Linked DNA regions of Caenorhabditis elegans. The protein of the gene in region 1 purifies or fractionates together with the protein of each later gene. This does not show direct contact. Each region holds a gene or a part of one and is shown in the gene's direction. Other genes may lie near its edges.

What was found.
Region 2: the proteins of spo-11 (region 1) and cyh-1 fractionate together in Caenorhabditis elegans (co-fractionation; one large-scale study listed by BioGRID). This does not show direct contact.

Annotation. Positions count from the first base shown.
Region 1 is NC_003282.8:11,116,981-11,130,414, reverse strand, and holds spo-11 (Meiotic recombination protein spo-11), read left to right. Parts: upstream 1-5,552; 5' UTR 5,553-5,679; coding exon 5,680-5,727; intron 5,728-5,772; coding exon 5,773-5,942; intron 5,943-5,992; coding exon 5,993-6,227; intron 6,228-6,271; coding exon 6,272-6,368; intron 6,369-6,415; coding exon 6,416-6,643; intron 6,644-6,710; coding exon 6,711-6,801; intron 6,802-6,847; coding exon 6,848-7,256; 3' UTR 7,257-7,282; downstream 7,283-13,434. Other genes in the region: SWI/SNF chromatin remodeling complex core catalytic subunit swsn-4, read right to left, coding at 1-205, 251-757, 802-2,451, 2,500-3,292, 3,340-3,566, 3,614-3,838, 3,886-4,341; enpl-1 (Endoplasmin homolog), read right to left, coding at 7,477-8,049, 8,116-8,691, 8,766-9,783, 10,632-10,701, 10,919-10,964; imp-2 (Intramembrane protease 2), read left to right, coding at 11,552-11,620, 11,742-12,551, 12,832-13,359. UniProt on the Caenorhabditis elegans protein: Required for meiotic recombination. Mediates DNA cleavage that forms the double-strand breaks (DSB) that initiate meiotic recombination.
Region 2 is NC_003280.10:3,499,398-3,516,826, forward strand, and holds cyh-1 (Cyclin-H), read left to right. Parts: upstream 1-5,621; coding exon 5,622-5,693; intron 5,694-6,137; coding exon 6,138-6,256; intron 6,257-6,676; coding exon 6,677-6,785; intron 6,786-7,235; coding exon 7,236-7,318; intron 7,319-7,359; coding exon 7,360-7,467; intron 7,468-8,030; coding exon 8,031-8,212; intron 8,213-9,072; coding exon 9,073-9,199; intron 9,200-9,838; coding exon 9,839-10,052; 3' UTR 10,053-11,148; downstream 11,149-17,429. Other genes in the region: col-71 (Cuticle collagen 71), read right to left, coding at 750-1,408, 2,168-2,528, 2,952-3,047; Y49F6B.2 (Fcf2 pre-rRNA processing C-terminal domain-containing protein), read left to right, coding at 3,577-3,687, 3,776-4,015, 4,084-4,248, 4,295-4,419, 5,312-5,429; Y49F6B.19 (TransThyretin-Related family domain), read right to left, coding at 11,149-11,271, 11,579-11,692, 12,860-12,943; srz-5 (Serpentine Receptor, class T), read right to left, coding at 13,293-13,493, 13,541-13,612, 13,804-14,329, 15,030-15,127, 15,176-15,334; Y49F6B.14 (Ovule protein), read right to left, coding at 15,566-16,087; clec-125 (C-type lectin domain-containing protein), read left to right, coding at 16,611-16,799, 17,136-17,429.

The DNA of each region.
Region 1 (13,434 bases):
GTTGAAACTGCTGAGCCTGTGCGGGTGGAAGTGATTGCATATGTGTCATAAGCATTAACATTTGCTGAGCAGTTGCCTGTTGTGTCCGCTGAAGATCTGACACACTTGGAGTGCCACTGGTTGAGGGACGAGAAGATGAAGTTGATGGGGTTGAAGGTTCTTTCTTCTTGACTGGTTCTTCTACTGGCTTCGGTGGATTCATAAACTGAAAAAGTAATGTAAACTTCGAAATTTCAAAAATCAATCATACCTTATCGTATTGTTCCTTCCACAATTTTCCGATTGTTTCAGAGCTAACATAAATCTCACTGCCTTCTTCGTTGTATGTTTGAGCATTGTTCACAAGCAAATTCATATCATCATTCAATTCTTCCATAACCGTATAACGTCCTGTTTCGATCTTTTTGTTGATTCGATCGAAATCCATTGGTTTGGAAATCACTTGATAATAGTCCGGCAGTTCTTTACGAGTTGGAAGTGTCTGGAATACATCCGCGATGAGTTCTCCATCCTCATTTTTATATTCTAGAATAACATCAAGCATTTCATTGATTTTTTCTGCCAATTCTGGATCCGTCTTCTTCTTCTTGTGTTGTAGAACAACGTCATCCATAGAATCATCATTCTCGTCCAATCCAGCCATTTTACGTTTTCTTTGCTTTTTACGTTCAGCCACAGCTTGATTATTTTCATCCTCAACTTCCTCAACTTGTTTCATGAACTGTTCATCGGACAAAAGATCGGAAGAGTAGTCGACCTGAAAATGAATTAATATTGTAAATTCTCTTATATATTCCTTACCTCTCTTCTGCGTCTTCTCTGATTAGGAGTTTGATCAACAACTTCACGACCTTCCTCTCTGGCTCGTTCCATTTCCTCATAATCGAATGACAATTTGAGAATATCGTCTGGAATTTCATGTTCTTCTAGAAGACGGGGTTTACGGTGAAGTTGATTAGCTTCTTCACGACGACGATCAATATCCATCGATTGGAAGATATTAAATTCTTCCTCTGAGCGAGCAACCATCTGATTCACAGTTTCATCATCTGGAACTTCCTCTTCTTCTTCCTCTTCTCCGTCTGCTTGAATAATTTGTTCGAGCATTTGCTTTCTTTCAGCTCCAGTTGAACGTTGATCGAACTTTCCTGCTTGAATAACTTTCTCGTCGACATTCAACTTGTAGCGAGCAGCGGCAAGAATTTTCTCTTCAACAGAGTTAGCTGTGATGAGACGAAGAACTCGAACTTCTTTCTTTTGTCCGATACGATGTGCACGATCTTGAGCCTGCATATCCTGATGAGGATTCCAATCCGAATCAAAGATAATAACAGTATCAGCAGTTTGCAAATTGAGTCCAAGACCTCCAGCTCTTGTAGAAAGCATGAAAAGGAACAAATCACTGTTAGGAGCATTAAACTGTGTCAGCAGATCTCCACGCTCGTCTGGTTTAGTTGAACCGTCTAAACGGAGGTACGTGTATCTTCGGAAATTCAAAAAGTCTTCGAAAATGTTCATCATAGACGTCATCTGGAAGAACATCAGAATTCGATGACCTGTTGCCTTTAGTTTCGGTAGAATACGATCGAGAAGTTCCAACTTTCCAGCAACACGCATTAGATCGGTTCCATTGACTTCGTTGACCTTCCAGTATGCACGGCAGGAATCTTCAATATTAGGGAAAAGGAACGGGTGATTGCAAAGCTTGCGAAGATGCACGACAGTGTTCATCAACGAACGTGCTCCAGATGACATTTTAGCGTCGAGAAGCAATCCTTTCTGCATATGACGATAAATAACCTTTTGCAAAGCAGACTGGTCACACTTGATGACATACTCGGTCTTGTCAGGAAGCTGTGATTCTACTTCCTTTTTGAGACGTCTCAGCAAGAATGGACGAAGAACCTTGTGCAGTCTTCTGATGATGAGCATCGTCTCTTCTTGATTCAGTTCTACTTTCTCTCCTGTAGTCGCAAATGGAGCATTGAACCATTGTTCGAAAGTTCCACAAGATGAGAAGATCGATGGAAGTAAGAAGTTCAGCAGAGCCCATAGCTCAGGAAGTTTGTTCTGAAGTGGAGTACCAGTAAGAAGTAAACGATGCTGAGCATGGAAGAATCCGTTCAACATCAATGTCAATTTACAATTGTGATTCTTCAAACGATGTCCTTCGTCGATTATCATATACTTCCAACGGATTTTACCAAGCAGTGCTTTCTCTTTGATCACATATTCATATGTTGTCATCAAAACGTTGAACGCTCCTTTTCTGATTTGTCCTTCAACACGACGACGAGCATCTTTAGTTCCTTTATAGATGATAGTGGTTACAGATGGAGCCCATTTAGCAAATTCGTTCTGCCAATTGGACAACGTGGAGAGCGGTACGATGACAAGATATGGTCCATTGTTTTGTTTGACTTCCATCAAATACGTCACCAACGAGATTGTCTGAAAATTAAAAATTGATTAATATTTCCTCATTTCCCAAATTCCTACCTGAATAGTTTTTCCTAGACCCATTTCGTCGGCGAGGATACCGTTCAGATTGTTGTTGTATAAGGAGACCATCCATTCCAATCCCTTAATCTGATACGGTTTCAGCAGAAGATTCGGATCACCACCACCCATCGTTGTGTGTTGCTTGACAACCTTTTCTTTGATTTTGTGAGCAGTTGCATAGTAATCAGCCATTTGCTTTTTCGTTTTCTGATCATATTCATCCTCTTCGTTACGTGCCTTCTCGAGGATCATCTTAGCTTTTGTCTCTTCATCCATTCCAGCGTACTGATCATCCTTCTCTTCTTCTGGTTCCACTGGAGCCTCTTCCTCTTCCTCTTCTTCGTCATCACTAAGCTGATCACGTGGAACTATCTCATATTCTGGATGAGTTTCAAGCCAAAACTCAATTTCTTCAGTCTTTGGAGCTTGATCTCCAGTAAGCGCTTTTCCAGTGCTTCTCTCCCGAACGTGAACCCTGGCTTCCTCATCCATTTGATTTCCTTTTTCAATTTTCTTATCTTCCTTCTTCTTTTTCTTTTCGGTATTTTGATGTTGACGAACAAGTGAGCACAGAGAGTCGACGTACTCATCGGTTTGTTGAAGAAGATACACAAGACGTTGATCTTTCTTCTCATCAAGAAGAGCACGATATCCTTCTTCATCTTCTTGCATCAGTTTTTGCATACGAAGTTTTTCATTTCGAATCTCGTCCTTCTTGCGTTCACGTTCATTGTTTTGATGATATGTCATGACTGCCTTGCGAGACTTTGCCATTTTCAGAAGATTGTTTCTGAAAATAATTTAATTAGTAGGAGAACTTTCTAAATACAATCTCACCTATGATACTCCTTGAATTCCTTTCCATGCTGAATGATAGCTTGCATCAAATCAGTATGCTTCTGCCTTCTCTTTCTTTCTTGCTCCATCTTTTGTTGCTTCTCAAGCTTTTCGGTAACACGAGCTTCGCGTAAAGATTGCCGCTTTGTGCGTCGATACGCATATGGATTGAGTGCAGTTTCGAGAGTTGTGTCTCTTTTGAGACAAGCCATCACTTCACTGCGCACCTAAAAACAGCTTATTGGTTAAAATACTCTTCGAATCCAGAAATTACCTGAGTTTGGAGATTGACAAGACGTAAAGCACGCAATTCGATTTCTGCTTTCAATTTCATGTGATCTGGAATGTCGGCGGGTAAGTTATTGAGTAGCTTCATGCGTAGCCCGATTCTGTTTTGAATCATATTTTCTCTTTGCTTGAGCATGCCAACAGGATCAATTCCTGATGGAACAGAAATTGTTGTTGGACGATTACAGCGTATTTGATGGAGATTGAAAATCTGTAAAAAAGTAGACTGTATAGTTTCATTCGATCCATTTTACCTACCTTCATCAAATCATACGGCAACTTTTCTCCATTCTCTGCCTCTCCTGGATATTCATAAGGTTCAGGCAACAAAGTTGTAACTTTTGGTCGGAGCATGACAGCATCCGCAATCAAGTTGGCCGGTACTTGTTCATTTCGAGCCAAAAGACGATAGGCTGACACTTGAGCCCTCAGTTGATTGAGTTGTGCTGGGGTAATTTGTTGATTCCCGCCATTTTCCTGTCCTGGAACGGCGTCTGGGAGACCAGATTGGAGTTTTTGCTTCAAAAGAACTGCTTTGGCGTGTCGATGGTCATTCTGAAGACCTTGTTCCTCCATTGAAGTTATCGCATTTTCCAGTTTGGAAATTGTCAGCTCTTGGCCTTGAGCTCCATCACCAGCTTGCTGAGCAACAACTTCACCGGCTGGTTGCGGTGGTTGAGCAGTAAACTGCTCAAACGCCGGCCTTCCGCTCATTCTTCAAAATTCCAGCAATTTGATACACTATCTTCTTTCAAATTGATAGTCTGAAACAATTATTAATTCAGAATTTTAGATTCAATTGAACATTCAAGATAAACAAAAAGTATTGCGGTAATAGTATATAAGCGAATTTCAGAAGAAGCCTGCGTGAATAATAAAACCGAGGACAATATATAGACTTTCCATCCATCCTAGTGCAAAAAGAGTAGGACTGATGGAACCGAGAAATAGCGTGCAAGTGAAAGAGAGATGTAGTGTATTGCAGGACACAACTTTCGGCGCGCATTCAAAATTTCTAGCGCATATAAAACACGGAGAACTCTTCGGGGGCCCTTTGTGAGCTAGTGAGATAAGAAAAGCTAAGAAAAAACTAAAAGATTGACGATTTCTAAAGATTGTGAAAAAATCGATAAGTAGTGACGTGTACGAATCGACTTTTCATGAATCCTGAGAGGTTTTTTCGTTTTCCAACGACGTATAAGTGTATACTGATAACTAGTATCGCTTGATATCGTGAAATTCGTCTGAAAACCGAGAAAATCCATGAAAAATGGTCTAAATTGTGTGTTAGACTAAGCAGCTGGGGAAGAAGAAGGTTTGAATGTATGCAGTGGACGCGCCGAGCGTCGATTGGCCAGAGAGGCAAAGTGAGGAGAAACACTATTGGAAATGGAGAGACGCAGACACTCTGCATGTCTGCCTGCATTGGAAACGGGCCATTGCGGCGGAGAGGACAAATGAATGGGAAAAGAGACAAGAAAAGAAGGAATAGTGGAAAATACAAGAAGACTACGGTAGATATAGACCATATCAGAGCTTCATTATGACTATTTGAATAAAGTATTTGAAGGAAATTTAATATAGCAAAAATATTTCAGCGCAACAACATTTAATGCTAGTTTAAGAAAAAAATGAATACTATACATAAATTTTATATTCTATAAAAATCTTCTTCGACTGCGACGAAATGAATGGTGCAGTCATTCGCTTCAAAATTGCATTTAAGCTGTGGTTTTTCGGCAGGGATTGAGAAAAACCGAGTTATATTTAAGAAATGCATTTTAAAATATTTTTTGAAGAAAAATGTCAATTTAAGAATATAGAAAAGAAGATCGAACATTGAGACTCGTCGGCGCCGAGTATTAAAAATCTGACGAAAATTACAGTACTACTCCGATTCGCTGCGGGACCCGTGCTTTATTTTCACGTATGGTCCTTTCGATTATTGACTTTTTGTATCTTGCAGCTGGAGCCTTATTAGCTTGCGTCCAAGTTTTATCAAAGTTTTATTCCATTTTATCTGTATTTTTGTTCTACTAATTAGTTTAAAGCATGTATGAATATTCTTTCAACCCAAATATCGATCATGAGCCCGGATCTGTAAGCTTAATATTGCTGATTCAAATCTAATTTTGCAATTTTCAGGTAGAATCTCAACAATCCACTATTTATTCGGATTCTGATGATTCTGATGACAGTTTTCTTGACGATGAAGTAATACCACCGAAGGAACAAGCTATGAGAAAAATTGAATTCGCTCTTGCAGATATTAAAAGGCAAATGGATAACAAAGAGAAATCGTTGACTTTGAGAATGTAATAAGTTCCTGTTGAAAATGTTTGAGTAATTTTGTTTTTTTTTTCAGATCGACTAGTAAATCACATTTTTGCCTTCGTTATACAGCAAAGAGGAAAGGAAAATTGGATAGAGATTTGCACTGTCTTCACCAAGTTTATGATTTGCTCGAAAATGACAAAAGATCAACGAAAAGAGAATTGTATTATGAACATAAAGCAGTTTATGGAAACCAGAAATATTTAGACAGTTCAATAAAATCAATTTGTGAGCTTTTGAATGAAAGTCGGGCTAATTTAAACATTGTCAGTGTGACATTAATAAACAAGAAATAATTTCCAAATTTCAGCTCTCTTGTGGACGCGGGATAATTCGTGGAGCAATTACTTTTTTAGTTGAGAATGTTGGTGTAATTGATGCGAGAGTTCAAGAAGTTTTGATCACAGGTAAGGTAATAAAAAACATTTAAAAATGATCAACGCTGGTGTTTCAGATGCACTGTTATTTTCGAATATAATATCAGAAGCCGATTTCATACTTGTTGTTGAGAAAGACACAACTTTTCAAAAATTAATGGATGAAAATTTTCAAGCAATGTTTCCACGTGGGATTCTAGCAACTTCGAAAGGATATCCGGATATTGCAACTCGAAATGTTCTGAAAATGTTGAGTGAAAAAAGAAAATTTCCAATATACGGACTGTTTGACGCTGATCCGCATGGTGAATTTTTAATAAAGGATTTAAAAAATAACTATATTAAAAATAGTAATACTTAAATTCAATTAAGGTATTGAAATCTACTTGACTTACAAATATGGACCTACGAAAGAATTTGCCGAAGGCCGAGGAGCCTTTGTTCCAACGATTGAATGGATCGGGTAAGACGATTTTATATTTATTTTCATAATTTCAACAAATTTCCAGTCTTTTCCCAACTGATTTTCATCGTTTCACCATCGATCAATCACAATGTCTTCCATTGGTTCGAACTGATTTTGTGAAAATTGAGAAGATGATTCCTCGATCGATTCAACTCGGAGAAATAGTGGTGACACGAGAATTAGACTGGATGATTCAGAATAAATTTAAAATGGAACTTGAATCAATAAATATGTGCGGACAGGAGTATATGGCTCGATTCTTGATTGCTCCGAGAGTCATGTCGATAGAAAAAGAAATTCCGATTCAACCAGAGACGATTATAAACGAGTACCACGAAGATTCACAATGTTCGCTGTCGACAGATGATGATCGGGAAGCAAAAGACGATGACTATATAGATTCGGATGCTGAAGAAAAGTTCCAGAATATGATAGATAATGATAGTGATTGAAAATAATATGAAACAGATTTTATTTTAGTTTCAAATGCAATATATTGCAATTACAACCACAAAAGGGGAAAGGAACCGTAAAGTGTTCGAGAAGTACTGAGACTGAGAAGTGGGGGGAGAAACAACATTAAATAAATAGAAAACAACACAAGTTATCTTATCTTATCACAATATCATCGAGTGCATAAAGCTAATGGAATGGGGAGATGTTTTACATTGTTTAGAGCTCAGAGTGCTCCTCCTCAATCGTTGTTTCTTCAGCGGCTTCTGGCTCTGGTTCAGCCTCTTCAATATGCTGTTCGGTTTCAACTTGAGCATCTTGGGAAACATCGAGCGATTGGCGAAGGACAGCTTCGATTCTATCAGCAAAACCAACTTGATCTTGAAGTGAGAATCCAGAACGAAGAGTGGCAGTTTCGAAGAGAAGCTTGGCAGTAGAAGCAGCGGTGGTATCTTCTTCAGAAGCAGTGACTCTCTTGAGAAGCTCCTTGATAACTGGATGGCGTGGGTTAATCTCGAATGTCTTTTTCTGAGTAGCATAGAAGTCTTGAGTTGGATCCTTTGCCTTAGCATAAGCTTGCGACTTCATAATGCGCTCCATGTTTCCAGACCATCCGTAGGAAGAGGCAACAAGGGCAGATGGTGATTTGACAAGACGTTGAGAAACAACTGCTTTCTCGATCAGATCCTTGAGTGCAGTTTCCTTGAGCCAGTCAGTAAGTGGCTTGAACTCCTCTTCAAGACCCTTGTGGGCTTCCTTGGCCTTCTCTCCATCATCGATGGTAACTCCTTCCTGAAAAATAGCATGTTGATAGGTAAAACATCATAGCCACTAAAGAAAAAAGCCTTCAATACTCACCTTAGCCACATTTTGGAACTTCTTTGATTCATATTCTGGCATAGCTTGAATACAGTACTCATCAACAGCTTCGGTGAGGAACAAAACTTCGTATCCCTTAGCGATGAGTCTCTCTACGAATGGAGAAGTTTCAACTTCCTTTCTGGAAGTTCCAGCCATGTAGTAAATGGCGTCTTGCTTTTCTTTCATTCTTTCGACATAGGCGGCAAGAGTAGTTGTTTTGTCAGCATCATTAGAAGACTGGAAGCGGAGAAGTTTAGCAAGACGCATACGGTTGGATGGATCCTCCATAACTCCCAACTTGATATTGGTAGAGAACTCGCTCCAGAAGTCATCGAATTGGGCTCCGTCGAGTTTCTTGAGCATGTCGAGCACTTTACGGACAAGTTTCTTCTTGATAACCTTGAGAAGTTTGTGCTGTTGGAGGTTTTCACGGGAGACATTGAGTGGGAGATCATCTGAATCAACGATACCGCGAATGAAGGAAAGATACTTTGGAAGCATATCGGCAAAATCGTCAGTGATGAAGACACGACGAACGTACAATTTGATGTTTTCGATAACTTTTCCGTAGTTCTGAAATAACATTATTAGTTGAAAATAACTAAACGCAATTAAAACAAATGCTATATAACTTTCAATATTCTTACCTGGAACATGTCATTTGGAGACTTCTTTGGAACGTAGAGGATAGATCTGAAGGAAACTTCTCCTTCAGCACTGAAATGCACGTGACTCAGTGGCTCTTCCGAATCCTTGGTGATACTCTTGTAGAATTGCTTGTATTCGTCTTCTTCGACCTGATTTGGTTTGCGCATCCAAATAGGTTTAACGTTGTTGACCTTCTCCCAATCCCAGGTGGTCTTCTCAACCTTCTTGGTTTTCTTTTCTTCCTTCTCTTCTTCAACAGCTCCGTCTTCAGTGGTGGCTGGTTCCTCTTCAACTGCTTCTTCCACCATTTCAGTTTTGGATTGCCAGAGGAAAATGTCAAAGTTGATGAATTGGGAATACTTGTGCACCAAGTTCTTGAGGGTATCTGGCTCCAAGAAATCTGCTGCCTCCTCCTTGAGGTACAATGTAATCTGAGTTCCGCGCTTCAATGTGTTTCCACGTGGGTCTTTGCTGATGGTGAAGCTAGCTGAATCAGATTCCCAAATGTACTGATCATCATCGTTGTTCTTGGTGGTTACGACAACACGGTCGGCAACAAGGAAGGCAGCGTAGAATCCGACTCCGAATTGTCCAATAAGATCTTGTTGCTGGTCAGAAGAAGTGGCAGTGTCCATAAGTTTGGATAAGAATTCTGAAGTTCCAGAGCGTGCAATAGTTCCCAAATTGTTGATCAAATCTTGACGAGTCATACCAACTCCTGTGTCGGTAATGTGAAGAAGGCGGTTTTCACGATCAGCCTTGATTTTAACAGACATCTCTTCAGTCTCACGGAGTTGCTCTGGATCGGTGAGGGAAAGAAGACGAATTTTGTCGAGAGCATCGGAAGCATTAGAAATAAGCTCACGGAGGAAAATCTCCTTATTTCTGTAGAGAGAGTTGATAATAAGTTTCATCATTCGGTTTACTTCGGCTTGGAATTCGTGTTTCTCGGCTTTTGAGCGGAGCTCCTTGATCTGGGAGACAGATAGTCCATCGAGCTTGATCGAATCTTCCTCTCTGAAAATATTATTTATCAATTTCAATTTTTTTTGTTAACTAGTTATATTTTTAAATTGTTTTAAACTGTATTGTGTTTTAATTGTACAGTTTTGATCTTTAATTTTCCAAAATTTTATCAGAAACCCTAGAAAATAATGCGTTCACTTCTAATCCGTGTATGGCATCCCTAATACTACACCTTCCATTAGCAGAAGATTAAATCTTGTGATTCGTATCTCCGTCCTTGACAGGCTATTACGTGAATCTAGGAAAGCATACGTTAAATTATCTAGGTCGGAGATAACCCTTTTAGTCTCTCTTGACCCTTCAGCCGATTTTTCTTATTTGAGAAAAAGGAAACACAAACAAGATAAGATAACCTAGCAGTAGATCGAGTCTGTTTGCATTCCGACAAAGGGCAAGACTCAATCAAATAGTGCTCCGCGGGAGTACAAAATAGTGTGCAAAACGGATGAGAGTCACCAAGTGGACTGACGCGACCTGGTACCGTTCAAAAGTTTTGGCTGAGGCCGGGGGTAGACAAATATTGAGATAGTTCAGAGTAACCAGGAAAAGGAACAGACACGTAGTGACAGGTCAATTTATTTGGAAAGTGGAAGAAAATGTGATTTATCTTTTTGGAACACTTAATCCAGCTAAAACTGTAACTATTCAATATTAAGAGCGAAAAACGAATTCGAAAGATATTTCTGATATATTAGATCTAATTAAAAATTAACAAGGTTATTGATTCTGATTTCGACATATTCACGAAATTGTTCAAAAAATGTACGAAACACAATTCAAAATTCTCTAGACTTTTTCAAATTGCAATTTTTCATAATAATCAAATTATCAAAAATTACCTTGTTTCTTCTTTGGTTTCCTTTGGTGCGTCTTCGATTTCATCTTCGGCGTAGACATTTGGAATGAAGGCTGAAAAGTGATGATTGTTGGGAATAAAAACGTGAATTCAAAAACTGCGTGGCGTGTATGCACAGAATGAAAAAATAAAGCCTAATGTTTTTATTCTGTGAACACAGTTTTAATATTTTCAGCGTACATTTAAGCTTAAAAATTTTTTTTACAATTTCAAAACTACGGTTTTCTATTTAAAGCTCACTAAGCTCTGAAAATCAATAAAAAGACATACCTGAAACAGCCAGAAGGGCGACGAAGCCCACCAAAAGGAATCTCATCGCCGTCTCTTCCTAACGACCGAGAATAAATGGAATGAGGTGTCTTTCCAACGGTCAATTACTCCCCTTTTCTCTCCGCTTGTTTGCTTTCTTTCGCCGGGGCTCACCCCTTCTCGACGTGTCCCTAAAAGTCCCGCCCCAATTTGCAAGTGCCGCACAGTGTCTGCGTCTCTTGCAAACACGTTGTCCTTCACTGAAAACTGCAAACTGCGGCGCGTTACTAGTTGCAAACAGAGGCGGAATCAGCCAATCAACGACCGAGACGACAGCTCAGAACACGTGGAGTGAGTGTCCTGGAACATTGTTTTTGTTTGCCGGATCCAGCAATATGGAATATGTTAATTTAAAAGACGATTTTTCAGTCTTTCTATTATAACAGTCACTCAAGTAATGTTCGGATCATCTAAATTAATCCTTATAGAAATTAATCATCTCACTTGTCTTGAGAATTTGTGAAATTTGTGATCGTTACTCAGCAAACTTACTTGTTTATCCGTCTCATAAACCGGTTTCTCATCTCAATCAGGCAATATACCTCCATTTCTTAATCTCAGTTTTTCCAGTTGGGAATTCAAACCTTTCGCGACATGGCTGAAGCAGCGACCGAAATCCCGCCGACGGCTAGCAATGTCACAGTTTTTACATTCGAAGAACAGGTGAGATTTTTACTGAAATTTTGTAAAATAAATGAAGTGGACAAGTATAAAATTACAACGAAGTTTTTATTAAATGTGATAAATAGCCATGCGAACTTTTTTAAATCAATTTTTCATTCAGGCTACAAGCTCGTTGGCGCTTTACGGAATGTCTATCCTCTGCATCATCATTGGATCGATTCGTTCAGCTCAATACATAAGGACGAATATTGACAAGAAGCGACTTATTGAAGGTTCGATCACTATGAGAGAAGCCAGGAAATTCCCTATTTCTGCTTCTCTGGTTCTCTTCGGTCTCTACCTCTTCTTCAAGCCTGCCGCCGAACGCTTCCTTTGGGTTGCCAGAGTCTTCCAAATTCTGCGAGTTCCCGAAGAATATGTCCAGAAGATCAATAGCACTATTATCAGCTATACCGCTAATACTACGACTACTGGGCCTTCCGAGCCATTCTTGCTCCGCTTGGCGTCAAGGATACCTCAAGAACGCGTTCCAGAAGCAATTCAAAATGCGGCTACATACGCTTATACCAACTTACCAACAATTCAAAAAGCAGAATGTATGCAACTCTTGACTTTCCTCATCTGTTTCGAAGGAGTCAACGCTTTCGCGTCTCTGTTGAAGCCATTTGTTACCGCGTTTCTCAAAAAGATGCCACTGGTTCCATCCTTCTTAAGATTCAATGCTCCGTACTTATTCTCTCTCAAAAAGGGAAATAAGGAAATGGAAGAGGGTGATATCGAAGATGCGAAGAAAAAGGAAACGGAATATCTTTTCAAAATTGACTTTGATCGTTACGATATCATCGCTTTATTGATGTGCTCTCCAATTCTCATTTCTCACCTGCTGAAAAGACACTGGATCACCAATAATATTATCGGAGTGAGCTTCTCAATCTTGGGAATCGAACGTCTTCATTTGGCCAGTTTCAAGGTAAATTTAACAATTATTAAAAAATATAGCAATATTTTTGTAATAAGACAAAAAAGCTACAATTACGCTTACTGAATGGAAGAATAATTTCAATTGACCAGATAGTAATAATATATTTTTGAACTAACTTGAAATATTTGGACAAAGTAAATAGTTCTCAATTTTGGCCTAAAGCTGTTTAAAAGAAACTTTTAAATATCAAACCGTTATTTGCAAAAATAGGTTTTAAAAAAATTTCATTGAAAAGACTAATTAATATCATTATTAATTTTTTTTACAGGCTGGATCCCTTCTTCTCGTTGGTCTCTTTTTCTATGACATCTTCTGGGTTTTCGGAACAGACGTGATGACATCTGTCGCAAAAGGAATTGATGCTCCGATTTTGCTCCAATTCCCTCAAGATATCTATCGAAATGGAATAATGGAAGCCAGTAAGCACAGTATGCTTGGGCTTGGAGACATTGTTATCCCTGGAATCTTCATTGCTCTCCTTCGTCGGTTCGACTACAGAGTTGTTCAAACGACTGCCGAGTCGAAGGCTCCACAAGGATCCTTGAAAGGACGATACTACTTCGTGGTTACTGTCGTCGCTTACATGGCTGGACTTTTCATCACTATGGCTGTTATGCATCACTTCAAGGCTGCTCAACCAGCTCTTCTCTATTTGGTGCCGTGTTGTCTTTTCGTACCCCTCCTTCTTGCTGTGATCCGTGGAGAACTTTCGGCTTTATGGAACTACGATGAATCAAGACATGTGGATAACGAAGAAAATCGAAAGAAAGTAGACTCCGGCAAGAAAAATAACTAAATGATTTAAAATAGTCTAAAGTATGCTATTCCTGCTTGTTATTCTGTTTTCGAAGAATACTTGAATTGGAAAACC
Region 2 (17,429 bases), on another chromosome or scaffold:
ATAATTAGGTGCAAATAAGCGACTGATAACAGTGTGTAGGTCATTGATCAGCTGATAATAAAGAGATTATTGATAAAAAATGAGGAATTGTGGAAAAAATGGAGAAAATCGGCGGAAAAATGATGAAATTAAAAGATTTTCGTTCGAAATTAATTTTAATTCGCGCCGTGATTTACGCTAAACAACACGCAGAGGCGTTATTTCGGAGCATCGTTCGAACAAATTTTAAATTTTAAAATGTTTTAAATGCTTTTAAATTAAAATTTATTGATTTTTCCAGGTTTTTATTGTTTTTCGCGATTTTTTTTGAAATTTTCGTTGAAAAATGTTTAAAAATGCTGAAAATTATTGAAATTTTCACTAAAATCAAGTAAAAATGCGAAAAAACCGGTAAAAACACGCTCGAACACATTTAAATGTATTTTTCAATTAAAAACCCGATTTTCGAGTTTTCTGCGATTTTTTTCCCGTAAAATATGTTGAAAATAATTTAAACGCTCTATTATCCCACTAAAACCGAGTAAAAAATGCGAAAAAACCGAGTTTCGGCCTAAAATTTGAATTTTCAACGGAAAAGTGGGAAAAGGCATTTAAAAGTGCAATCAAATGTGTCAGGCGAGCCACAGTTTCCCACCATAACCATAAATTGGTTAATGGGAGTGTTAAAACGAGGGATTTTCGATAAAAATGGTTTTATTGAAGCAAAAGTGAGCAAATAAATAGTTTTTTTCAAATCCAAAAATCTCCATCTAACGCCGGGTTCCATCCTCAAAGAAGATTCCTCCATCCTTGGCGCAATACTTTGGACAAATTCCCCGTTCTCCAGCTCTTCCGGCTTTTCCATCGTGTCCTGGAACTCCAGGAACTCCATCTTCTCCATTCTCTCCGTCAGTTCCATTCTCTCCAGGTGCTCCCGGAGCTCCAGCTTCTCCATCTTCTCCAGGATGTCCTGGAGTTCCACGTGATCCAACTGGTCCAATGGCTCCCGGTGGTCCTTGTGGTCCTGGAGTCGGCTCACTATTCTCAGCGTTCTCTCCCGTCTCTCCAGTTGCTCCCGGCTCTCCGATCTTTCCAAGTGGTCCTGGACGTCCTTTCTCTCCAGCAGCACCGTCTGATCCCTTCTCTCCATTGTCTCCCTGCGATCCAGGTTGCCCGTCGGCTCCCGGGTACCCGGCTTGTCCAGGGGCTCCCTTTGGTCCTGCTGGGCATGGTGGGCATGGTGGTGGGGTTACTGGCTCACATGGAGCCTCTGGTGGTCTTCCTGGGTTTCCGTTGAGTCCGTTGGCGCCGGCCTTTCCGTTTGGTCCTGGACGGCCTGGAGGTCCTGGTGGGCCTGGTGGGCCTGGAAGGCAGCAGTCGTGGCACGTTCCTTCGGAGTCAGAGCCCGTGGTGGCGGTGTGTGGTCCTTCTGGAATTTTTTATTTTGTTTGGAGTGAAAATTTTGAAAAAATCGGATTTTCCATCGCAAAAACTCCATTTTGACCATTAAGTGGGCGGAGCTTATGTGACAATTTTTCACATTTTCTAAAGCCTGAAGCTGTATGAAAAATTCGGTTTTTTCTTTTTTTCGCCTGTCTAAAAGGCCTACAAGGCAGGCGCCTAGAAAGCCTACAACTCAGGCGCCTGCGAGCCTACAACGCCTACAAGGCAGGCGGCTCTAAAGCCTAAAACGCCTACAAGGCAGGCGGCTCCAAAGCCTACAAGGTTTACAAAGCAGGCGCCTAGAAAGCCTACAAGGAATGTGCCTAGAAAGCGTACGAGGCAGGCGCCTAAAAGGCTTACTAGGCATGCGCCTACAGGGCCTACGAGACCTACAAGGCAGGCGCCTAAAAAGCCTACAATGCCTACAAGGAAGGCGCCTAGAAAGCCTACAAGGCAGGCGGCTAAAAAGCATGCAAGGCATACAAGGCAGGCGCATACAGGGCAGATGCCTAGAAGGCCTTCTAGCCAGGCGTCTACAATGCCTATAAAGTAGGCGCCTGCTAGGCCTACTAGACAGGGACCTACAAAACCTACAAGGCAGGCACATAGAAAGCCTACAATGCAGGCGCCTAGAAGGCCTAGATCGCCTACAAGGCAGGCGCCTACGAAGCAGCCTACAAAGCCTACAGGGCCTAGAAGGCAGGCGCCTACAACGCCTACAAGGCCTACACGGCTTAAACCTCACCTTCAACTCCAACAGCAACAAACGGCTTATCCTCGTAGGCGGCCGCCGGGCTATTTCCCTTCACCTCCGCCGCAGCCGCATCTCCACCACTATATCCGACAGGCGTTGGCTTGCTCGGATGCACATCGTATCCAGCTTGACGGGCGGTACGGTTGCCTGCCTGTGCGAATGGGAAGCCGGCTCGCAGAGCAGCAACGTCATCGAAAATCTGACGAGCATTGACGTTGCACGTGGCCATCTCATGGGACATCTGACGTTTTACCGATTGGACGTAGGTGAAGACAACTGGCATTGTGACACAGAAACAGATCACCGAGACTGTGGAGAAGGTGACGGCGGCGTAGCCGATAAGGCGGTAGGCCTGGAAATGATATGGATTTTTAGTTTTTATAAGCTTAGAAGGCCTAGAAAGCCTACAAGGCAGGCGCCTAGAAGGCCTCTAAGGTAGGCGCCTAAATGGCCTAGAAAGCCTCCAAAGCAGTCGTCTAGAAGGCCTAAAGGGTAGGCGCCTAGAAGGCCTAAAGGATAGGCACCTAGAAGGCCTAGAGCGCCTACAAGGCAGGCACCTAGAAGGCCTACAAGGCCTACAAAACAGGCGCCTAAAAAGCCTACAAGGCAGGCGCCCAGATGGCCTAGAAAGCTTACAAGGTAGGCGCCAAGAAAGCCTACAAGGCAGGCGCCTAGAAGGCCTAGAAGACCCACAAGGCAGGCGCCTAGAGGACCTACAAGGCAAGCCTATACGGCCTAGAAAGCCTATTAGGCCTACTCGAAATAGACCGCTCACCTTAGTCTTCGGATCATCATCAACGTGCGTCTTCAAGCCCATTTCGCGAAGCAAAACGGGTGTGGAGAATGGCTTATCACCGCCTGCGTTGCGCATTTTAAAGCCGCCGAAAATCGCCAACGACCGGTAAATCGGTGAAAAAGTTGGTTCGCATGCGAGAGATAACGTAACGCCGTGGAGACGCAGAGTGTGTGGTCTATCGGATTTTCGGCGGAAAATGCTGGAAAAAAGTGTTCCCTAAAGACGTCAAAGATGATAATGAACGATATAATTAGAAGCTTTTCTATAAAGTTTTTTGTCATTGAAGCTGGAATTTGGCTGAAATTTGCCGATTTTTCGCAATTTCTGAAGCTTGGAGCTTAAAAAGCATCGATTCTGCTCGAAATTCCCTCAAAAAAACCCGAAAACCCATCAATTTCCCGAGAAAATCTTGAAAATTTGGAGTTTTTCCTCTTCGGGGCCGAGTTGGAGTTTTCTAGGCCACGAGTTGCATCCGCGCTCCATTGCGAATATGGTTAATTTAATTTATTTATTTCGAAGGTTTTCACCGGGTTTTCGTCGGTTTTCGCTCTTTTTCGCCAGTTTTTTCGAATAAAAATTGAAATTGAATGATTTTCAGCTCAAAATGTCTGCGCTCTACTTCAAAAAGCTACGAAAACAGCAGAATCCCGACGTTTCAAGCAGCGAAGATTCGGATTCCGACGAGGAAATTCCAAAAAAGAAGCAAAAGCAACAAGTAATCACAAAAAACGGCGATTTTTGCAAATTTTTAGCGAAAAAAACCGAAAATTTCCCAGAAAAGCACCAAAAAAATCGATTTTCAGAAGCCTGTCGCCGAGGAATTCGATGATTTCGTCGTTGACAGAGCCGTACGTGAAGAAGCGCCAAAAGAAGGAGCTTTTGAGGCAGTTGACCTGCTCGGAACATCCTATTTGGAGCCATATGAGATGGATAAGGACTTGCAGGAGCTTCTGGAAAAGTCAGTTGTCGGGCCGAAGTTTGAAGGCGATCATCAGCCTCAAAATAGGCTTTTAGGCCGGAATGCGGCCGCCAGGCTGAAGAAAGTGCGTTGAAATCGATGAAAATTCGATTAAAATCGCTCAAAATCCAATAAAAATCGCTATTTTTCCAGTCAGAACGCGAAAAAACCAAAGGATCCGCTTGGTTCAACCTTCCAGCGACGGAGCTCACCGATGAGCACAAACGAGATTTGGAATTCCTTCAAATGAGATCAACTCTCGATCCATTGGCTCATTATCGTCGAAATGACCGGGCTGTACTGCCGAAATACTTCCAAGTTCGAGAAAATTTAAAAAATTCCCAAAAAATCCGAGATTTTTCAGGTTGGACGAGTCGTTGACGCTCCAGAAGACTTTTATTCGAGTAGAATGGTGCGAAAAGAGCGAAAAAAGACGATGGTCGACGAGATTTTGCATAATGAGGAATCGTTGAGCAAAGCCAAGAAAAAGTACGGGAAAATCAAGAATTTTTGTGAAAAAATTCAAGTTTTTGCGTTTTTAACGTTAAAATCGTGATTTTTAGAGCAAAAATGAGCTAAAAAGGATAAAAATTGGCCGATTTTCACCCAAAACGGCGAAATTTTGCCAAAAATCCTGGAAATTGATATTTTTAATGCAAAAACTCGCTAAAAACGGTAGAAATTGACCGATTTTCACTCAAAACGCCGAATTTTTGCCGAAAATCCTGTAAATCTGCAGTTTTTGCGTTTTTTTAACGTAAAATTATGATTTTGGACTCGAAAACCCCAAAAAAATGCTGAAAATTGATCGATTTTCACTTGAAACGACGAAATTTCGTCGAAAAAACCCGGAAATGGACAGTTTTTTACGTTTTTTAACGTAAAATTATGATTTTGGAGCTCAAAATTGGCTAAAATTGATGGAAAATGGTGAATTTTCGTTACAATATGGTTTTTTTTTAATAAAAAAAACATTTTCCAAGATTTTTACCGAAAAATTTGATTTTAGGAGCAAAAAAAAGCCGAATTTTCAGAAAATTTCGCCGAATTTTGTCCAAAAATGGCGAAAAACCGCAAACTTTTAACTGAAAACACGATTTTTGACCAAAAAAACGATAATTTCAACGTTTTTTTCCGGAAAATAATCGAAAATTTTGAGAATTTCAGTATTTTTTCCTGAAAAATCCGCTAAAATCTCTGAAAAAAGCACAGGTTTTCCCCCCAAAAATCGATTTTTCAATAAAAAAAAACTCAATTTTTTCGGATTTTGAGCAAAACAAACGGTTAAATTGTGTGAAAATAGCTCAAAAATCACATTTTTCCTCCGAAAAAATCGATTTTTATATCAAAAAGCTCCAATTTTTCCATATTTTCCTTCCAGATACGCTGAAATTCGCCAAAAAGAGCAATCTAAACGACGTGGAGCATTCCAAAAATTCGGAAATCGCAAATCTCACAAGCAACAGAGAGAATCAAAAATGAAGAATAAGAAGAAATAATTTTTTTTTGTTAATTTTTTGAATTTTCACATTTTTTTTCTGGTTTTTGTTGGAATTTTCTTGTTATAGACTCGTTTTTTTGTTATTTTGTCGATTTTTTGCCCATTTTTCACTAATTTTCACTGGTTTTCACCCAGAATTACCTTTTTTTTTACCGAAAATTTCAGCCAAAAAAATGGCAAAAATTCAGAAATGTACGCGACGAGCACACAAAAACGGGAATGGACGTATACACCGGAAAAGTTGGCCGCAATGCGTTTGGAGGTAGAAAAATTGGAATTTTTTATGGAAAATAGGCTAAAAACAGCAAAATTTTCACTTAAAACACGGAAAATTAACAATTTCGGCATTTTTTATTTAAAAAATTCGGAAAAAGTTGAAAATTTAGTCATTTTTATTGGAAAAATTAAGAATTTCGGCATTTTTTATTTAAAAATTCGAAAAATTGAGCATTTATTTCATTTTCTCTGAAAAATTCAGGAAAAGTTAGAAATTTCAACGTTTTTTCCGGAAAAATTTATTTTTTTGTTTTTTTTTTCTGAGAAAAATTGAAAAAAAGTAGAAATTCCTGTAATTTTACTGAAAAATCTGAGAATTCCACCGTTTTTTTTCCGGAAAAATGGATTTTTTTTCGCTTTTTCCTAAAAAAAAAACTGAAAAAACCTGAATTTTTCCTCAAAAAATTAAAAATGCCCAATTTTTTTGCAGATAAACATAAAATTCCGTCAAAAATACGAGTCAGTAATGCAGCCGGACGAGTTGGAGCTCTTTGTGACACCTGAAGAGGAGCTCAGAATGCAAAGATCAATTGAGGATGCTGCTTTGAAGTTAGAATTTGCTGGATTTCACCGAAAAATCGGAGAATTCCCGTCAAAATTTCATGAAAAACGCGAAAATTCCGGCTAAAATTGGATTTTTAGCATAAAAAATCCGAAAAAACCATGAAAAAAACAATTTTGTACCGGAAAATGTGGAAAAATGCGATTTTTTCTCAATTTTCTGCATTTTTTGCACCAAAAATTGTGAATTTCGGTTATTTTCTATGAAAAATTGAGAAAATCGGAATTTTTGCCATTTTTCCGATAGAAGTTCAGAAAAAATGCAGAAAATTCACAATTTTGGCTATTTTTTCTGAAAAAAATTTTTTTTTTAGTTTTTTAGTCGAGAAAACCCCAAAAGAAAACGATTTTCACACGAAAAAACCTGAAATTTTCAATTTTCCCACTCAAATACCAAAATTTTTCCAGATTCGCCGACAAATTCCGCCCACACATATGGCCATCAGTGAAATGGACAGCCTTGGCGTTTTTCAAGCGGGCTTTTCTTGTCTGGGTGCCATCAGACACGTCGATTAGGGTAAAAATTGAATTTTTAGCTGAAAATTAGTCAAAATCGCCGAATTTTTGATTTTTAAACGAAAAAACCTATTTTTCGGGCCATTTTTGCCCAAAAATTGTCAAAAATTCAATTTTTTCATACAAACTTCCGAATTTTTTTTAGTTTTAAACGAAAAAATTCTGCGATTTTTGGTGTAAAATTGACTAATTTTCGGCTTTTAAACGCAAAAACCTATTTTTCGACTCAATTTTGTGTAAAAATTGCCAAATATTTTGTTTTAAACGCAAAAATCGGCAAAATTTTGATTTTTTTAACGCAAAAACTTGGATTTCAACTCATTTTCACTCAAAAATCGCTAAAATTTTGATTTTTAAACTGAGAAAACTCAATTTTCTGCCGATTTTTGCCCAAAATTCCCCGAATTTCCAACATTTTCCATCAATTTTCCATTAAAAATCTTAATTTCAGATGGTAATGATGGCTTGCTTCTACTTGGCAATGAAAATCGACGAATTCTACATTACAATCGAAGATTTCGTGAAGAATATGAAGTAAGTCCTGATAATCGCCGCTGGCAGCTACTCATTATCAGAAGTTACAGCGTTGGAGAACCTCGACAAAATGCCGAACGGATTTTGAAGCTGGAGCCGGAGCTTATGAAGATTCTCGACTATAATTTGACTGTACATTGCCCGTATAGGTACGGAAAATCGGGATTTTCCAGCAATTTCCGCTGAAAATACTGGAAAAATTCGAAAATTTCACGAAAAACGGAGAAAATTGGCATTTTTCCGGCTCCGAGACCTCAAAATTGCTTAAAAATCCAATTTTTGTCCGAAAAAATTCAATTTCATAAAAATAAGAATTTAGAGCTGAAAATGCGCTATAAAATCCTTTTTTTTCTTACAAAATACCCCAGAAAACCTCGATCTTGGTTCAATTTTTGAGAAAAATCTGAAAATTTCGTAGATTTCCACTAGAAAATGTGAAAAATCTCAATTTGCATACGAAAAAGCCAAAAAAATCACATTTTCCAGCTTAAAACAACCCTAAAAATGACAATTTTCAGACTAGAAAAGCCTATAAATCTCATTTTTCAGGCAAAAAACCTAAAAAAAAATTTCCATTTTTCAGCTGAAAAAAGCCCGAAAAAATTTCATTTTTAAGCCGAAAACCCGGAAAAAATCCAAATTTTCAGCCGATCAAAAACCAAAAAAATCTTATTTTTCAGACTAGAAAAGCCTAAAAATCGCCATTTTTCAGGCCATACGAAGGCCATCTAATGGATATGAAGACCCGAATGCTTCTTCTAAATTTCGATCTCGAATCAATCCGCCGCGATTCTATGAGATTCTTCCAGAATGCACTACAAACCGACGTGCTTCTCCTCTATCCACCGTCACAGATTGCACTGGCCGCCATTAATTTCGGGCTCCATGCTCAGGGTACGGCGAAGATCTCGAGAAATCGAAAATTTTGGGAGTTTTTGTGTAAAAATTCGAATTCCCCGTCATCGTATTAGTCTACCCTATAAGTTTCTGCTAAAAATCTCAAAATCCCGTCAAATTCGGTGTTTTGGGTTACTGTAGCCCGTGTTTGCGTACTCTCGGGGCTACAGTAACCCTGGAAATTTCAAAATTGCGCTAGAAACTCCAAATGTTCTTCTTTTAGAGCGGAATTTGACAGGAAATCCGAATTTCGCTGTAAAATTCCTAAAATTCGTTGCGTAAAGTGATTTTCTAGTTTTCAAAATTTTTGCCAAAATTTTTGTGTAAAAATTCGAGCTCCCCGTCATCGAATTAGTCTAACACAAAAATTTCAGCTCAAAATCTCAAAATTCCGTTAAATCTGGTGTTTTGGGGTACTGTAGCCCGTGTTTGCGTACTCTTGGGGCTACAGTAACCCTGGAAATTTCAAAATTGCGCTAGAAACTCCAAATGTTCTTCTTTTAGAGCGGAATTTGACAGGAAATCCGAATTTCGCTGTAAAATTCCTAAAATTCGTTGCGTAAAGTGATTTTCTAGTTTTCAAAATTTTTGCCAAAATTTTTGTGTAAAAATTCGAGCTCCCCGTCATCGAATTAGTCTAACACAAAAATTTCAGCTCAAAATCTCAAAATTCCGTTAAATCTGGTGTTCCGTGTTTGCGTACTCTTGGGGCTACAGTAACCCTGGAAATTTCAAAATTGCGCTAGAAACTCCAACTTTTCGTGTGCTATAGCAGAATTTCACGGAGAACTCGAATTTCAGATTTAAGATCCGAAAATCTCAATTTCCGATAGAAAAATTCAGCAATTTTGCACTAGTTTCAGGCAAATCCGACGAGATTCTACGCGAGTTTCTTCGGAAACTTATCGGAATCGAAGAGGACTCGTGGGCTCATCGTGATGCTCGTCCAGAGGATTTGGAAAAGCTCGAAAAGACGGTTACGAGGTAGTGAAGAGCACCGGAAAATTGCACATTTTCAATGAAAATCGCTGGAAATTGTCGAAAAATGGCAAAAATTTGACTCAAAACACAAAAAAAAACAGGAAAAATACAATTTTTGAGCCAAATTTTGGATTTTTTCAGAGAAAAACTAACGAAAATGACATAAAAATCGTTTTTAAGTGGAAAAAAAATACCGTTTTTAGTGGTAAAAATTGACAACAAAAACAATTTTTCACTAAAAATAGTAAAAAATCGCCATTTTTTGACAGCAAAATTGGGTTTTTAGCCTTAAAATGTGTATTTTTTCCCCAAAAATTTGCATTTTTATTTGCTAGAAACCTGAAAAATGAAGCTTAAGCTCAAAAATTCGGGCAATTTTAATGAAAATTTTTGAAAAAAATCTATTGAAAACCCGATTTTTCGCGTAAAAATATGTAAAATTGCGAGAAAAATCCGAAAAAAAACCATTTTTCGCATAAAAACCGCTCGAAAAAAGTGAAAAATCGGTTAATTTTTGGCTAAAAGGTTTTTTTTTCAAAGCTCCGGCGATTTTTGAAAAAAAAAATTAATTTTTAGTTTAAAAAACCGCTGAAATTTGGATATTAATCAATTTTTCTCCTAAAAAATCCAAAAATTTTCCAGAGTCAATCAAATAATGCGAGAAGTCGATCGAAATTTCGTAGCAGTGACAGAGCAAGAACGGGAGAATCACAAAAGCCAGCTGGCACGGATTCAAGCATTGATTCCAGCACTTGATGAACGACGAAAAGAGCAATGGTTGGCTGGTGGAGGTGTTGGATTGATGCCTGGAGAGCTCGCCGAGCAGCCAGTTGATTCTGATGACGAAATTAATTGATTTTTGCTTTTTTTTTTCGCCTTGCTCCAGAAATTCTGCTACAAAATGAGCAATTTTTAACATTTTTTGGTCTAAAATAATCTAAAAAATTGGATTTTAATCTCTAAAAATTTAAAAATTCGAAATTTCCGTATTTCGACTTTAAAAAATTTCAAAAAAAATCGTTTTTAATTTCTGAAAATTAAAAAAAAAAAAGTCTGTTGGCCTGAACATTTTGAAAAATTCGAAATTTTTTGTTTTTCATTTCAAAAAATTCGTTTTTAATTTGCAAAAATTAGAAACATCGTAAAAATTTCGTTTCTAGTCTCTAAAAATTTTAAAAATCGAAATTTTTATTTTTCGAATTTTAAAAATTCCAAAAAAGTTTGTTTTTTATTTATTTTTTCCCTAAAAATTCGAAAAATCTAAAAAATGTGTATTTTGAATTAAAAATTAAAAATTTTCGTTTTTGAGCTTTAAAAATGTTTAAAAATCCCAAAAAAAGTGTTTTTTGTCTTAAAAATAAGCCTAAAAATTGCCTGAAAGCTGAAAATCACCGAAAAAATTTTTCGGAATTTTTCCACTTTTATCTGCTATTTTTCAACAGTTGTTCAGTAGTTTTTATTTAAAAAATGGGCAAATTTTCTGATTTTTTACTGAAAAATATGAAAAATTTGACGAGTTCCAGAAGAAAATTAACGAAAAGCCACAAAAATTTGCATAAAACTATCGATTTTTTTCTTACAAAAATTCAGTATTTTTTTCATATGAAAAATGAAATTGTTTTAAAAAAATTTAAAAAAATCCGAAAAATTATCGATTTTTTAAAAACCAAAAAAAATATTTGAAAAAAGTTGAAATTTCTAAAAAAAAAACTACATTTTGTTCAATAAATTCGATTTTTAAAAAAATCGAATTTTTTAAACAAAAAATTATATTTAAAAATCGGTATTTTTCGAAAAAAAAATTCCAATTTCTTATAGCTCATTTTATCGAAATTTCTGGAGCATTTCCCCCTATTTTGTTCAAAAAAATCCCTCAATTCTCTTATATTATCGGGTATAATTTTATCATTTTTATCATTTTTACTGTGTAACTAATTTCCCTATGAAAATGCTCAATTATTTATTAATTTATTGTTTTTTCCCTCAAAAAATCGATAATTATCATTAATTTTGCACTTGAATGATGAGAATTGGCGGCGCGTATCCCATTTCTCCATTATTATTATGATCATTGGCTGAAAATTGTAATTTTTATTGTATTTTTAAAAAAATAATTATGCCCCTCTCCTCCAAAAAAGTAGGAAATTTTGCTAAAAAATTTGCGATTTTTCTGAAAATCGTGTCAAAATTCCCAAAATTTTGAGCAATTTTCCAGTAAAATCGATTTTTTTTTCTTTAAAAAAATCGAAACTTTTTTACAAAAATTCCCCACATTAGGATCCTTCTGATAAGTTCCAGAATCGGCAATCTTGGCATGCCGAATCAATACGGATCCATTTGGGAAAAGCTTGAAATTCGATGAATCCACCACTCGACCCTCACCCATTTTCCACGATTTCTCCCTCTTCCGAACGACATTATCTGATTGCCAGCGGCGACGGTTCGTTTGAGAGCCGAGGAGCCTACGGCGTCTTCGATCAGAAATGAGTCGCCAACCTGGAAAAAGAAGCCGAAATTCGAATTCTCCGTGAAATTCTGGTCTAGAAAACGAAAAGTTGAAGTTTCTAGCGCAATTTTGAAATTTTCGGGTTACGGTAGCGCCGAGAGTACGCAAACACCGACTACAGTACCCCAAAACACCAGATTTGACGGAATTTGGAGATTTTGAGCTGAAAATTATGGGGTAGACTAATTAGATGACGGGGAGCTCGAATTTCTACATAAAAAATTTTGAAAACTAGAAAAAATAGGTTTTCAGTTAGAAAATCATTTTACGCAACGAATTATAGGAATTTCATGACAATATTCGGATTTCTTGTCAAATTCTGGGTCGGAACGCAAAAAGTTGGAGATTCTAGAGTAATTTTGAAATTTTCAGAGTTACGGTAGCTCCAAGAGTACGCAAACACCGACGACAGTACCCCAGAAACACCGGATTTGACGGAATTTTGAGATTTTGAGCTGAAAATTATGGGGTAGACTAATTAGATGATGGGGAGCTCGAATTTCTACACAAAAAATTTTGAAAACTAGAAAAAATAGGTTTTCAGTTAGAAAATCATTTTACGCAACGAATTATAGGAATTTCATGACAATATTCGGATTTCTTGTCAAATTCTGGGTCGGAACGCAAAAAGTTGGAGATTCTAGAGTAATTTTGAAATTTTCAGAGTTACGGTAGCTCCAAGAGTACGCAAACACCGACGACAGTACCCCAGAAACACCGGATTTGACGGAATTTTGAGATTTTGAGCTGAAAATTTTGTGGTAGACTAAATTCATAGCGGGGAATCCGATTTTCACTATTAAAATTTCATAAGTATATTTTGAACTATAGAAAATTGAGTTTTCAGCCAGAAAATCACCTTATGCTACGAATTTTTAAATTTTCACTACAAAATTCGGATTCCTCGTAAAATTCTGGGTAGAAACACAAAAAGTTGGAGTTTCTAGCTCAATTTTGAAATTTTCGGGTTACGGTAGCTCCTAGAGTACGCAAACACGGGCTACAGTACCCCAAAACACCGGATTTGACGGAATTTTGAGATTTTGAGCCGAAAACTTAGGGATAGACTAAATTGATAGCGGGGAATTCGAATTTCGTAACCAAATTTTGATTAAAACTTGCGAAACTACAAAAATCTTAAAAATTCGGTTTTTTACCTTCAGTAGAGCTGTCGCAATTGAAGCATTTGATAGAACCACTATCAGTGCCAAGATGGCAAGAATTACAGTAGTTTGGGACATTTTTCAGGGCTGGAAATCCTGAAAACTGACTGAAAATTCAAAAATTGGATATTTCTTTTATAGTGTGAGGAATTTTCATAAAAAGTGGTCATAAATTTTGGTATTCCCACATTTTTGCATATATTTTGAACCATGATTCATGTGGACAAATTGTGATTTTTGAGCACTTGGTTTAGGAATGTAGGCACGTAGGCACGTAGGTACGTAGGCACGTAGGCACGTAGGCACGTAGGCACGTAGGCACGTAGGCTCGTAGGCACGTAGGCACGTAGGCACGTAGGCACGTAGGCACGTAGGCACGTAGGCACGTAGGCACGTAAGCACGTAGGCACGTAGGCACGTAGGCACTTCATAATGGTGCAACAACATTATTATAGTCCCTCTCAATCCGCAATTTTCGCTTCAAAGCTCTGATAATTCCAAAAAGGAACCATTTGAATGTGAGCAGTGACTGCATGATTTTCACATTCCGCTTGTTACAATAAATATAAGAAATTTGAATTAAAAGCGGGGTTGTCGCAAAATTTATCACACTGAGCATTATGCAGGCCTGAAAATTCGAGAGAATTTCGAAAAAAAAATTAAAAAATTACAAACCAGCTTCAAAAATCCATAATATCCCTGATCGATGATCATTACCCCGTTAAATACAATAAACGGGAAGGTTACCTGAAAAATAGCACAATTTTAAGAGTTTTCAGTGCCTACGTGCCTACGTGCCTTCGAGGGCGCCTTATTTTACGTAACATTGAGCTATCGGTCTGAAAATTTTGGAGTAGACTAACTTGATGCTCAGGAATTCAAATTTTGCTATAAAATTCACAAGAGAAAAGGTTAAAGTTGAGAAAAATACGACTTACAAACTTCGAAACACAAATTGTGATTGCCTGGTACATAATAAGCCTATCCGTCTGATTTTCCACCACTGACGCTATATTCGATTTTTTCCGAAGACTTATAAAAATTGGAACATATAAAAATGCAGATAACGTAGCAATAACTTCCAAATAGTAATATATTGTCATATATAAACTATCAAAAGAAAACGGAAAATTATATCCAGGCTCCAGATAGCTTTCATTCCCAAAATCCCAAGAACCATTACCCAAAAATGGCAAATTTGAATAGGAAAATCGAAAATCCGTTTCTAAAATTCCAACGCCAAGGTTTGCAGCGAAAAATCCGAGATATAGCAGAATTATGATCCAGGACCAATTTTTTTGATTTAAAATCCATTTTTTGCCGAATCTATCCGAATAATAAATAAAAAACCGCTGTACTGCAAGTAAGGTGAGCAAAATGTTGAAAACTGGGAAAATGACGCAGGATATGAAGTAGTAGTGATATAAAACGTCGAACAAATCCAATTCCAACATGTTCATGATTCTGGAACAGGCTTCTTGTTGTTTAGCAGAAAATTTCACACATTTCACTATTTGGAACTTTTTTGATAGCTCCATTCGCTGAGGAGTTATGAGCGTTTGAAAATTGCGGTGCGAGAGATAGAGGGGGAGGGGAGACGTAGAGAGTCAGAGTGTCTCGCTGTCTGCGTCTCTCCTCCCCGCAGGCTCTCTCGCTCTAAACTTTGAGCGCCTGTATCTCTGTAGTGGTTAGAGATATCAAAAAACTTCCTTCTGCAAAAATATTTAAAATTTTACGCTGAATATTTAGAAACTAGAATCAAAACTACAAAGTGGCAATATACGTCTGAAAATCTGGAAAATGGATAGAGATAGAAGAATGTTGTCAACTGACAAAATGTTAAGCAGACAATTTGACACATTTTACTATTTGGAACTTTTTTGATATCTCTACTGGTTAAGGAGTTATGAGCGTTTGAAAATTGCAGTGCGAGAGACAGAGGGGGAGGGGAGACGCAGAGGGTCAGAGTGTCTCGCTGTCTGCGTCTCCCCTCTCCCTCTATCTCTTGCACTATCTCTTGCACAAAACTTTAAACCCCTGTATCTCTGCGGTGGTTAGAGATATCATAAAACTTCCTTTTACAAAAATATTCTAAATTTTACGGTGAATATTTTGAAAATAAAACTTTGTCTATAAAACTTTGTAAAACACTAAAATCTAGTACTTGAACCCGTAGAACATCTCAAATAAGCAGAGCAATAAAATGACAAGCATTACACAAATAAGCCGGTGAAAATGGACAATTATCGGTGCAGTCGGGGACTGAAACTGTTTTATTTTATTTTTAAAAATAAAATTAGCGCAACTCACGTTATTTTCCCGCAAACTATTCGTAAAATAGGCAAAACAATAAAACGGGAACAGTGCCACGTGGCATGGAATTGACAGTACTACATAAAGGTACATAAGTCCTTCAACTGCACATACGGAGATCTCGTAGATTGTGCTAAAAATTTCGGGAAGGCTCATAATATAAGGCTAAGAAATATAGAAGCCTGGCGTTTGGTTTTCTGAGAAGAAAATATGAAAAATAAGTGATATACCTGTGTGGTTAAAATTTTCACCTGCCCTTTTTCCCCTCCAAAACGCCAAATTCCAAGAAAAACATTTTTCAATGGTTAAAAATTAAGAATTGGTTTTTTTTTCTAAAATTCAAAGAAAATCTTTTTAAAACAATTCATTAAGTGTTGTATTTGAACTCTACGTAAGATTCTGCATTCTGATCCTTCTGAATCTTCCCAACCAGTTTTTTTTCTGGTCCTCCGAGCTCTGGGAGCCATCAGCTTGGAGCTTGACCAAAGCAATTCCAGTTTTTGAATCACTTAGGTCTAAGCTCAGATCTTTAGATTTTCGGGTGCTTTCATCAGCTTGAATCTTCTGGTCCTTCTGGATCTTTCCAACCAGATTCTGATCATTTGATATTTGAGAACTATCAGCTTGGAGCTTCAGATTAACCAGCACTTTTCCAGATTTGGAGCCACTTGAGTTCTGATCCTTCTGGATCTTCCCCACCAGCATCTGATCTTCCTGAGCATCAGATCGGAGCTTCAAGGTCTGCTCCAAATCCTCCACCATCCAGTACTTACTTCCTTCATCGTCAGATTTTCCGTCGTAATCTTCTTCCACAGAGTAGTAGGTGGTCAGGTCTACACAAGGCCCATTTCCACGATTTCGGGAACCCTGAGCAGGTCCAAATTTTGACTTTTTAAATTTTTTTTTCATTTCCAAAATATTCACCGTAAAATGTTGAACATTTTTGTAATTTGAAGTTTTCTAATATCTCTTACCGTTTCAGAGTTACAGGCGCTCAAAGTTTAGGGACGAGAGATAGAAGGGGAGGGGAGACGCAGACATGACTCTGCGTCTCCTCTCCCCCTCTATCTCTGGCACAGCAAGCTTCAAACGCTCATAACTCCTTAACGAGTAGAGCTATCGAAAAAGTTCCAAATAGTAAAATGTGTCAAATTTTGTGCTTAACAATTTGCTAAATGACATCTTTTTTCTATCTTAACTCTTCGCTTAGATATTACGGTTTAAAATTTTAAAATTTTTTGAAAGCTAGATTTTTACGAAATGTATGAAATGTTTTGTGCAATTCCTGTCAAAAAAGTGAGTACGTTGCAAAAACATTTTTTGTGCCTCCCTTTTCCACTCTCCGAAAATTTTTTCAACTTACACATCATAAAACTGGGTGCCCCATATAAAAGCATCATTTCCTGAAAACCGGGTCATAATTCCGGAAACCATGACGTTATTTTCTCCTTATCTGTCAATATTTTTCCTATTAACACTCGAGTTTTCACCCATATTCTGTATGTTTCGACCCAGAAGCTCCGGAGGCAATTGTTTGGATGTTCAGGCGCATTTTTATGTGTCGGAGGAGTATGATGGGTACACGAATGACGTGGAAAATGCTTATTATTGGAGACTTCCGGTTAGTTTTAGTTTTTTAAAAAATTCAAAACTTTCAACTTGTTAAGCAGAAAATTTGACACATTTTACTATTTGGAACTTTTTTGATAGCTGTACTCGTTAAGGAGTTATGAGAGTTTAAAAATTTTAGAGCGAGAGACAGAAGGGGAGGGGAGACGCAGACGTGTCTCTGCGTCTCCCTTGCCCCCACGCTCTCTCGCTCAAAACTTTGAGCGTATGTAACTCTGCAACGGTAAGAGATATCCGAAAACTTCAAATTGCAAAAATGCTCAAAATTGTACGGAAAATATCTTGAAAATAAAAAAAAATTGAAACAGTCAAAGTTGGACCTGTTCAGGGTTCCCGAAATCGAGGAAATGGACCTTGTGTAGACCTGACCACCTACTACTCTGTGGAAGAAGATTACGACGGAAAATCTGACGATGACGGAAGTAAGTACTGGATGGTGGAGGATTTGGAGCAGACCTTGAAGCTCCGATCTGATGCTCAGGAAGATCAGAAAATGAAGCTCCAAGTTGAGAAAAGCTCACGAAGCTCTAAGGATCAGAGCCTAGACTTAGGTGATTCAAAAACTGGAATTGCTCTGGTTGGTGTCAAGCTACAAGCTGATGGCTCCCAAGGCTCGAAAGAT